Coturnix japonica: one gene and its partner. The protein of the gene in region 1 interacts with the protein of each later gene in a biochemical or structural test. Links are inferred from orthologs where the notes say so. Each region holds a gene or a part of one and is shown on either strand. Other genes may lie near its edges. The genes, in order: E-selectin-like and CD24.

The links.
Region 2: the proteins of E-selectin-like (region 1) and CD24 form a complex in vitro, tested with the Homo sapiens proteins (2 studies listed by BioGRID and IntAct). The link is inferred for Coturnix japonica from reciprocal best matches to the Homo sapiens genes SELP and CD24.

What each region holds. Positions count from the first base shown.
Region 1 is NC_029523.1:3,600,165-3,604,072, forward strand, and holds the start of E-selectin-like, read left to right. Parts: upstream 1-1,587; coding exon 1,588-1,669; intron 1,670-3,221; coding exon 3,222-3,277; intron 3,278-3,404; coding exon 3,405-3,495; intron 3,496-3,908. UniProt on the Homo sapiens protein: Ca(2+)-dependent receptor for myeloid cells that binds to carbohydrates on neutrophils and monocytes. Mediates the interaction of activated endothelial cells or platelets with leukocytes. The ligand recognized is sialyl-Lewis X.
Region 2 is NC_029518.1:61,827,603-61,831,510, forward strand, and holds the start of CD24 (signal transducer CD24), read left to right. Parts: upstream 1-889; 5' UTR 890-1,035; coding exon 1,036-1,116; intron 1,117-2,953; coding exon 2,954-3,136; 3' UTR 3,137-3,908.

The DNA of each region.
Region 1 (3,908 bases):
AAATTAATTTCCAAGTGACAGCAAAATACTGGGGACACCCTTGCCCTCATTATTTTAGGTGGAGTTCTTTTCTTTGCAGAGACTCGCCTCAAAAATGAGGACTGTGAGAGAGGAACCAGCCAACCCTGAGACAAGCAGCAGGACCAGAATGCAGGAGAGACGTCTCCACAGCTCTGTATCCAGAAGGCAGCGAGGAGAAGGGCACTTTCCAAGGAGCAAGGTCCTCAAGAGCACAAAAATAACCAAGGTCCCAGGGCAGAAAGAATCACAGCACTGCTGGTGCTGAACACAAGAGGGCAGGAAGCACAAGGCAGGGTGCTTGCCTGAGGCTGGAAGGAGAGGAAAAGTCAGCCCTCAGCTGCCAAAAGGTGAAGAATGAACTGCTCAAGGATGCTTCTGTGTGCAGGAAAATGGAGCTGGCCTCGCTGCATGGCCAGGACTGCCTCCGGATTTCCTGGCAGGAGGACAGGACATTGTTTGCTCTGTGGGGCTGGCAGTGGCCAGAGGCAGGGCTCTCGTGGCTGAATGCGTTCACCTGATTCATCTCCATGGCTCTTTGCAGAGCTGTATGGCTGCGGAGCCAGATCTGCTGTTGAGAGAGCCAGATGGGCTGCACAGAGCCAGAGTGAGGGGAAGGGAAGAGGCAGAGGGGAGCAAAAACGTGCTGGGGGGACGGGCAGCAGAATCCGCCTCTGGGCTTGCCCTCTTGAAATAAGAAGACTGCATTAAAGCATTAAACCAGACTGTTGCAGTAGCAGTGGTGATGTCCGGGGGACGCAAGGCAGTGCCATGAGGGCAGTGAGTAGGGCTGGGTGGGACCGGATGCCCCAGGCTGCACTCACCCTGACAGGCAGGGCCACTTGTTTACTGCTCACAACACCAGCACTGAGATAAGTTTCCATTATCTCCACCCCCACCATCCTGTTTGGCAAATCGTTACCCATGCCAGGCACGTGCTGCTGCAGCCAGGCAACAGGAGCCAGCTCCAGGGGTGCACAAATAGCAGCAATACCATACGGCTCTTTGTCCTTTTGTTGCAGGGTGAAGGCACAAGGCTGAGATCTACAGGGTCAGAGAAATGGCTCCGAGGGGCATTAACAGGGCAAGGGGGACACATTGTGGTGGGCAGGGGCCCCGAAGCCCCCAGCATCTTGCAGCCAGCATTGTTCCACCTGGGGCATGCCAGGAACATTTGGGGACATCCCCATCCTGCTCAGCAAATCAGTGCCTCCATCTTGCCCTGCCCTGGTTGGGGTGATATTTGAGTAAACATGTCTTCCTGTGGCCAAACTGTTACCACTTTCAGATTCTGAGAAAGATTGTACTGTGTGCCACACTTCAGGGGCACTGAGGTGAGATGCGCTCAGAGGCACCTCTCAGCTGGGGACAACTTTGGGGACAAAAAGCCCCCATGGTGGCACTGTAGAGGGGGAGCCATCCCCAGCCCATGCCCAGGAGGTGCCTTCAGAGAGAGCATCCTGGCTCAGTGCAGGGTCTGGAAATGGGGTGGCATGGGGGAGGGGAGAGGGGGAGTGGGAACAGGGATGTACCCGATGGCTGCACCCCTTGGGGGTGCCCCTTGTCTCCATGCCCTGGGGGCTGCAGAAGGTGCCTGGGGATGTGTCTGTGGTGTCGTCAGAGGCAGCTGCTCCATGCAGGCTGTGTCAGGGTGAGTCGGTTCCTTTGCGGTTTGCAGGGAGCATTGCTCAAGAAGAGGAGAGGGCTGTACCACACAGGGATGGGGCCTCTGCCAAAACAAGAGCAGTGTGCATGGTGAGGGGCTCCTCCCAAGTGGCAGGGGAGCACCCCACTCAGCCTCACAATGATGGAGGAGCCTGCAGGATCCCTGTGAGGAGTACGTGCCCTGCAGCATGCTGACATTTGCCCAGGAGCTGGCCCTGAAAGACACCAGCAAAACAAGATTACCTCTGGCTCCCAGCAGAGCTGCAGAACTGACTGCAGTCCTCATTCATTCCCCTCTGCCACATATACCCCTCTCCTTTACATATAAAGCATGGGTTCAGGGCTGCATCCTTCCCCTTGCAGTGTCCACCTTCAGGTCTCGGCCAGTTCACTTCTGCTTTTACAGCAACACCAGAAACTATTTGTAATGACAAAAATAAAGGTGGGGATGTTTTTTTTCTATTGTTCTGCCCTGTTGTGTCCTGTGCCAGCAGAAGTGAAACCTGCAGGGGCACGGCCCATTTTCTTCCTGCCCTCCCATGGGGCCGAGCATCCAGCAGCACCCCTCTGACTGTCCTAGTGCAGAAGCAGCTTTGTCCTGCTCAGGGGACTGTGGCTTCCTGAGGTGTCCCCCTGCCCAGAATCCACCCAGCAGCCTCTCTGTCCACTGGGATGGCATTCCTTGTCCCAAGCTACACTTTCTGCATGGGAGCTGGCAAAGCGAATGCTGCTGGGTCACTGCATGCACAGAAAGAGGGAGAACTGCACCAAAATATTTTGCAAGGATGATAACAAAGGACAGGAACAGAAGTTCATTTGCATTGGCCAAGCAGAAGGTCACTGTAATGAGTTATGGATTTTGGGGATGGGTTCCTCCTTTTGTGTCATGTGAGTCCCACTGGGGCATCATTTATTTCTCTTGGAACTGGAACATGCATGTGATCCAAATGGCTCTTGCCTTGGCTTTAGCTGGAAGTGAGCAGAGTAATTCCCTCAGAAAACCCTGCCAAAATGATATTACTTAGAAGTAGAACATGTGTAAAAATAGATAGATGGTGATGCTGCACACAATGGGCACCTTCCTGAAGCATAGGTAGAAGTTCATAAATGACATTTAATGGGGGGAAGTTCCCCCATCCTGTTTTTTGGATCTTTCTCATAAAGATTTTAAAAGGCAGAAACAGGAAAATACATTGTGTAACTAATTGGTCTTTAGTGGTATATGACAATTCACAGCCTGCAACAGGATCCAGGAGCCGCTTACCTCGTTCCTGTTCTGCCTGGTGCAGGTCCACACACCTCATCCTACTCTGTCCTCTCCTTGTTGCTGCCACCGACATGGTGGGTTGGAGGGCTCTGGGTGGCTGCACACCAGGCTGGCCCCTCATTGGGGTGCAAGTCTCCAGCTGGCAGCAGTTTCCTGGCAGTGGGGGGGACGCAGCGGGGCAGGATGCGGGCTGGCAGCAGGGCTGGGTCAGGAGGGGAAGAGACTTGGGGGGAGGGAGCGATGCTCTGAGGCTTGAAGGAAGCGTGAGCAGTGCTGCCTGCCCAGGGCAAGGGCCAGGTGCAGCAGGCACCCTGCAGCACCAGTGTGGTAGGTCTGCCTGTTTCTTCCCATTGGGACAGCTGGGGTCTGCTTGTGTAGGGGGCAGGGAGGGTTGCGGGTGGGTATCCTGCAGCTGACAAGAATGCATGCTCATGCCCTTCTCTCCGGCACACAGGGCACCACTGTGGGACAGCACTGCACTCGGAGGATGAGGGCTCTCAGCTCTTGTGGTGTCTGCTGCCTGAGCATCGCTGCCTTTACATGTGGTAAGGTGCCCACCGTGACCCTGAGGGAATGGAAAACTGGAGAAGGGCAGTGGAGTTATTTTGGGGGACCCACAGACACATGGCTTTGGTGCCTGTAGGATATTTCCTTTGCACATTGGCACTGCATGGGGCAAGGAATGTGCTCTGTCCTAGAAATCCTGTGTGGTGTGGATCAGTTTACAAAAGACCTTTTGCAAATCAGCAGAAGAGCAGAGGCAAAAGTAGAAGTGTCAGGAGGAGACTGAGATTTAGGTCTGCAAGGAAAACAAAAATACAATTGCAGCTTGAGTGCTGCAAACACTGTGCCCAGCTGCACAGGGCTGGAGGTATGGGGGCTGCCAGGGCTGCTAATGGAACCCAGGTGGGACTCAGCTGAGGTGGATGGGGAGAGGTGAGATGAGGCTGAGCACGTG
Region 2 (3,908 bases), on another chromosome or scaffold:
ACTTGTTACACAGGTTTCCTGCTCTTTAAGGAATAATGATAATAATAAAATATTCAGATCCAAAGAGCATCTGGAACTGCGAGCTGTGGTCTGAAGGCTGAGCACTGGTGGGAAGGTACCCACCCAACAGCCGGGGGGAAGGTGGGGCCTCAGCTCTTCAACTCTTCACTCCTTGTTTCTACCATCTGGAAATACAGCTTTCTTTACCCGTCCTCCCCGCATCTATGAGCTCGGTTTTTAAATAGAAAAGCCTGATGTTCTGAGGGAACTGGGGTTGCTCAGTCTGGAGGAGACATTATAGATCTGTACAACTTTTCGTTGTGGTGAGGTGGGAGTTGGCTTCTTCTCCTGTGTAGTGATGGGACTGGAGGAAACGGCCTCAAGTCGCACCAGGGGAGGTTCAGGTTGGAGATAGGAACCATTTCTTCTCAGAGAGAGTGGTGCTGCAGTGGCACAGGCTGCACGGGGAGGTGGTGGAGTCACGGACCCTGGAGGTGTTATAAAAACGTGTGGATGTGGCACTGAGGGACCTGGTTAGAGGACATGGTGGGGATGGGCTGCTGATTGGACTAGGTGAGCTTAGAGGGCTTTTCCAGCCTTAGCGATTCTATGCTTCCGTGATCTTCACAAGCAGAATTTATCGCTGCTTCTGATAAGAGATAAGAGATGACAAGCAGATGTGATCCCTTGTGGCCACGCCGTGCTGAAGCGCCAGAGCACGAGGTGGGCACAAAACAAAGGCACAGACGTTGTGCCCGCAGGTGGGGAAACGCAGCTCAGCCCCATAGCCGGACCGAGGCCGGGGCGGCGACGCAGCCAACACCTCGCGGGGAGCGTAGGGAGCGCGGGGTCGGCGCCGGGGGGCGGGGGCAGAGGTGCGGGTAGGAGGTGGGGAAGGCGGCGACGGCGGGGCGTCACGGCAGCCCGCGCTCCTATAAAAAGCCCGGGCGCGGCTCAGCCGTCTCGTTCGCCGTCGCAGCGCTTGGATCAGCGGCAGCATCGGTGCGGCACGCAGCGGATCAGCAGCAGAAGGGCATGGGGACGGCAGTGGGGACAGCGCTGGCGGCACGGCTCGGCCTGGGGCTCCTGCTCCTGGCGCTCCTCCTACCCACGCAGGTGAGCCCCGCCGCGAGAGACGGGAGAGCGGCCACGCGGGGACCCTCCCGGAGCGGGGTGCTCCTCCGGGGGAGCCTGCGGGGCGGGGGCCGCCGTTCGGAGCCCCTGCCTCTACCCCGGGGCGAGCTCGGGCTGGGGGGGCCGCTCGGTGCCGCTCGGCGAGGTTGGCTCTCGCCCCTTTGTCTGCGGGATCCTCGAGAGAGCGGCACGGAGCGGCGGTGCGGGCGCTTCGTCTCCGTGCGGTGCCGCGTGGCGGAGAAGCATCGATTCTCCGCTGAAAAAAAGAGGCTCAAATAATAATAAAGCCGAGCGGCCCTCGGAAATAAATAAGACTTAGAGCCCGAGGGCGGCCGGTCCCGCTGGTCCGAGCCCCCATGGTGCGGGTGAGGCGCGGCGGGGTGGGCGGTCCGGGGCTGGCTGCGGGTATCGCCGTGCCGGCCGAGCTCCGCCGGCTGCGGGGTGGGGAGGCAGCGCGGTGCTCGTCCACGCTGCGGGGACGCGTTTCTAAGAACCCCTCGTGAAAAGGGCCCGTAGCTCCGCACGGAGCGAATGAGCGGCGAGAAGCTCCCGAGAGGGGGTTTCAAATCCGCTTGCTTTTGTTGTTTGGAAAGAAAAACTTCGTCCCTTTTGAGTTGGTCTCAATAGAGCAGGGTCTGATCGTGTGGGTGCCGATGTTTGTTAAGGGAATGTAGGAAGCTTTGTCTGGGTTCTCTGGGGTTTCTGAGCCCTCCCTTTGCGCACCCACCCAGAATCCGGGCTTTGTGCTCACAGCCGAGGTAACTTAATAAATACGTATCCCAGTGGGAAACAGGGAAGGAGGAATGTGTGAAGACTGAGAAAATTCCGAGGCACGTGGAGTCTTATCTCTTAACCAGTTTATAGGGTCTTAACTGCGCTTCTGTATTGATCACTCACTCACTGGCTTCAACATAAACTTCACTGCTTTTTCTTTTTTTTTTCCCCCCAAGTTCTGCAGTCTTGAATTGTTTCCAGTATATTCGTGCTTGCCAAAAAATCTTAGCTGTCGGAGGCTTCATACTAGCCTGCTGTCTTTCTATGATGTGCTTTTATTCAGGATATGCTCATGCAAGTTTCAAATGTATTTAACGTTGATTTTATAGCCTCAGTGTTGAGGTACAACATACATCACTTCTGCTAAAGGCAGTAATGTTCTCAGCAGCCCTGGAAATACAAGAGAATAAAGGCTTCTTTTATGGAGAGTGTTACTAAAGTAGTTGCTCTTAAATGTTTTTACTTCAAACTCTACTCCCGTGTACGAGAGGGCTCTGGTTTAACATAGGTTTGCTGGTGCAGAACTACAGCTAAGCTTGCTGAACTGTGAGTTTTTTCCCCTCTCCTCCTCCTCATGATTCTTACCTTTTGTTCTCCACCCTCATGTCTTCCACTGGAAGGGAAGGACCAGCTTCAAAGCTCAGCTTTGAGAGCTTTCCTGTATGTGTAGGGTACAGGTTTATGTTGAAGTTACATAGGGTGCAAATTTCTACTGTTCTGTTGCAATTAATGCAGAGTAATGAGTGGGGATTTTGTTCCCATTGTTCTTTGTCAGCATCTCTTCTATTTGCTGGTATTGTATGGGCTTTCCACTGCACTTCTTATTGTCTGTACTAGCATGCCAATAGGTTTTGATTTAATCAGTATAATTCCATTAAGTTCTGCAGTTCAGTACTACCACAGTGTTTCAGCCTCCCCTCTGTTATCTTGCAAAGTCCACTTAAATAGGTCTGTCATTCAGAGGACTGCCTGGCTCCTGATTTTTATTATTAAAGAGCAGAAAAAAAAAATTGCTTTTCATTAACTTTCTCTACCCACATTCTAGATCTACTGTGATCCCAATGGAACAAGTCCAACACCTTCAAACAATTCTTCAGCGAGTTCCACTTTGCCAGCTGCCGTAAATTCACTGAACAGTACCACCGTTCACGGACATGGAAATGCCCTTCAATCCGCCACAAGTCTCCTTTTCATTCTCTCAGTTTCTCTTCTGTATTTTTGCTGTTAAGAGAAGGGCAGGAAAATGGCTACCACTCCCCACCCAGTTTCCTGAACCATCTGAGATGGCTAGATCTTCGACCTAGCATGAAAATGAATCAGTCCAAACTCTGCATCAAACCAGCTTGGTTCCACTCCATACTGTAACTAGTACCAGTCTGACCTAGAGAAGCACCCCCACTGTTCTGACTTTCCAAAGCTGACCAACGTGAAAAGGATTTGCTCATCTTCGGCGTGGAGGTGAAATGATGTGCTCTTTCACCTAACAACTTTGAAATTGGCATAATGATGGAAGCAAAACCAGACAGTATTGACACCCCTGATTTAAAGCTGAGAAGAAATACAGTGTCCACGATAAGGATGGATGATAACACTCCACCAAAACAGAAGGCTAGAGACTTTACCTGCAGCTTAGAATTGATACCTTGAAGAGGTGTTTACCCTCCATTAAGTTCAGTAAAGTCAGAGCTCCTAGAACCTCTAGGAAACAAAAGCTTGAATGGTTCTGTTTCTCACACAGCCCATACAGTTATAATCTATGGCTGGTAGCAATGTATGTGAAAGATCTTCTAGATTTAATTTGTGTGAGACTGCTGCAAGTCTAAACATAAAATACCACATCATGTAAGAATCCTCTTGTTTAATTTCAATTACCAAATGGCTAATCAGGCAGGGCTAGTTTGGAAACTATTAAAAATGACCAGTTTTCCTAAGGGTTGAATGGGGATTTGGTTTTGACATTTTATTTAAATTGTTTGCATATTAAACCTTATGTGCCAGAG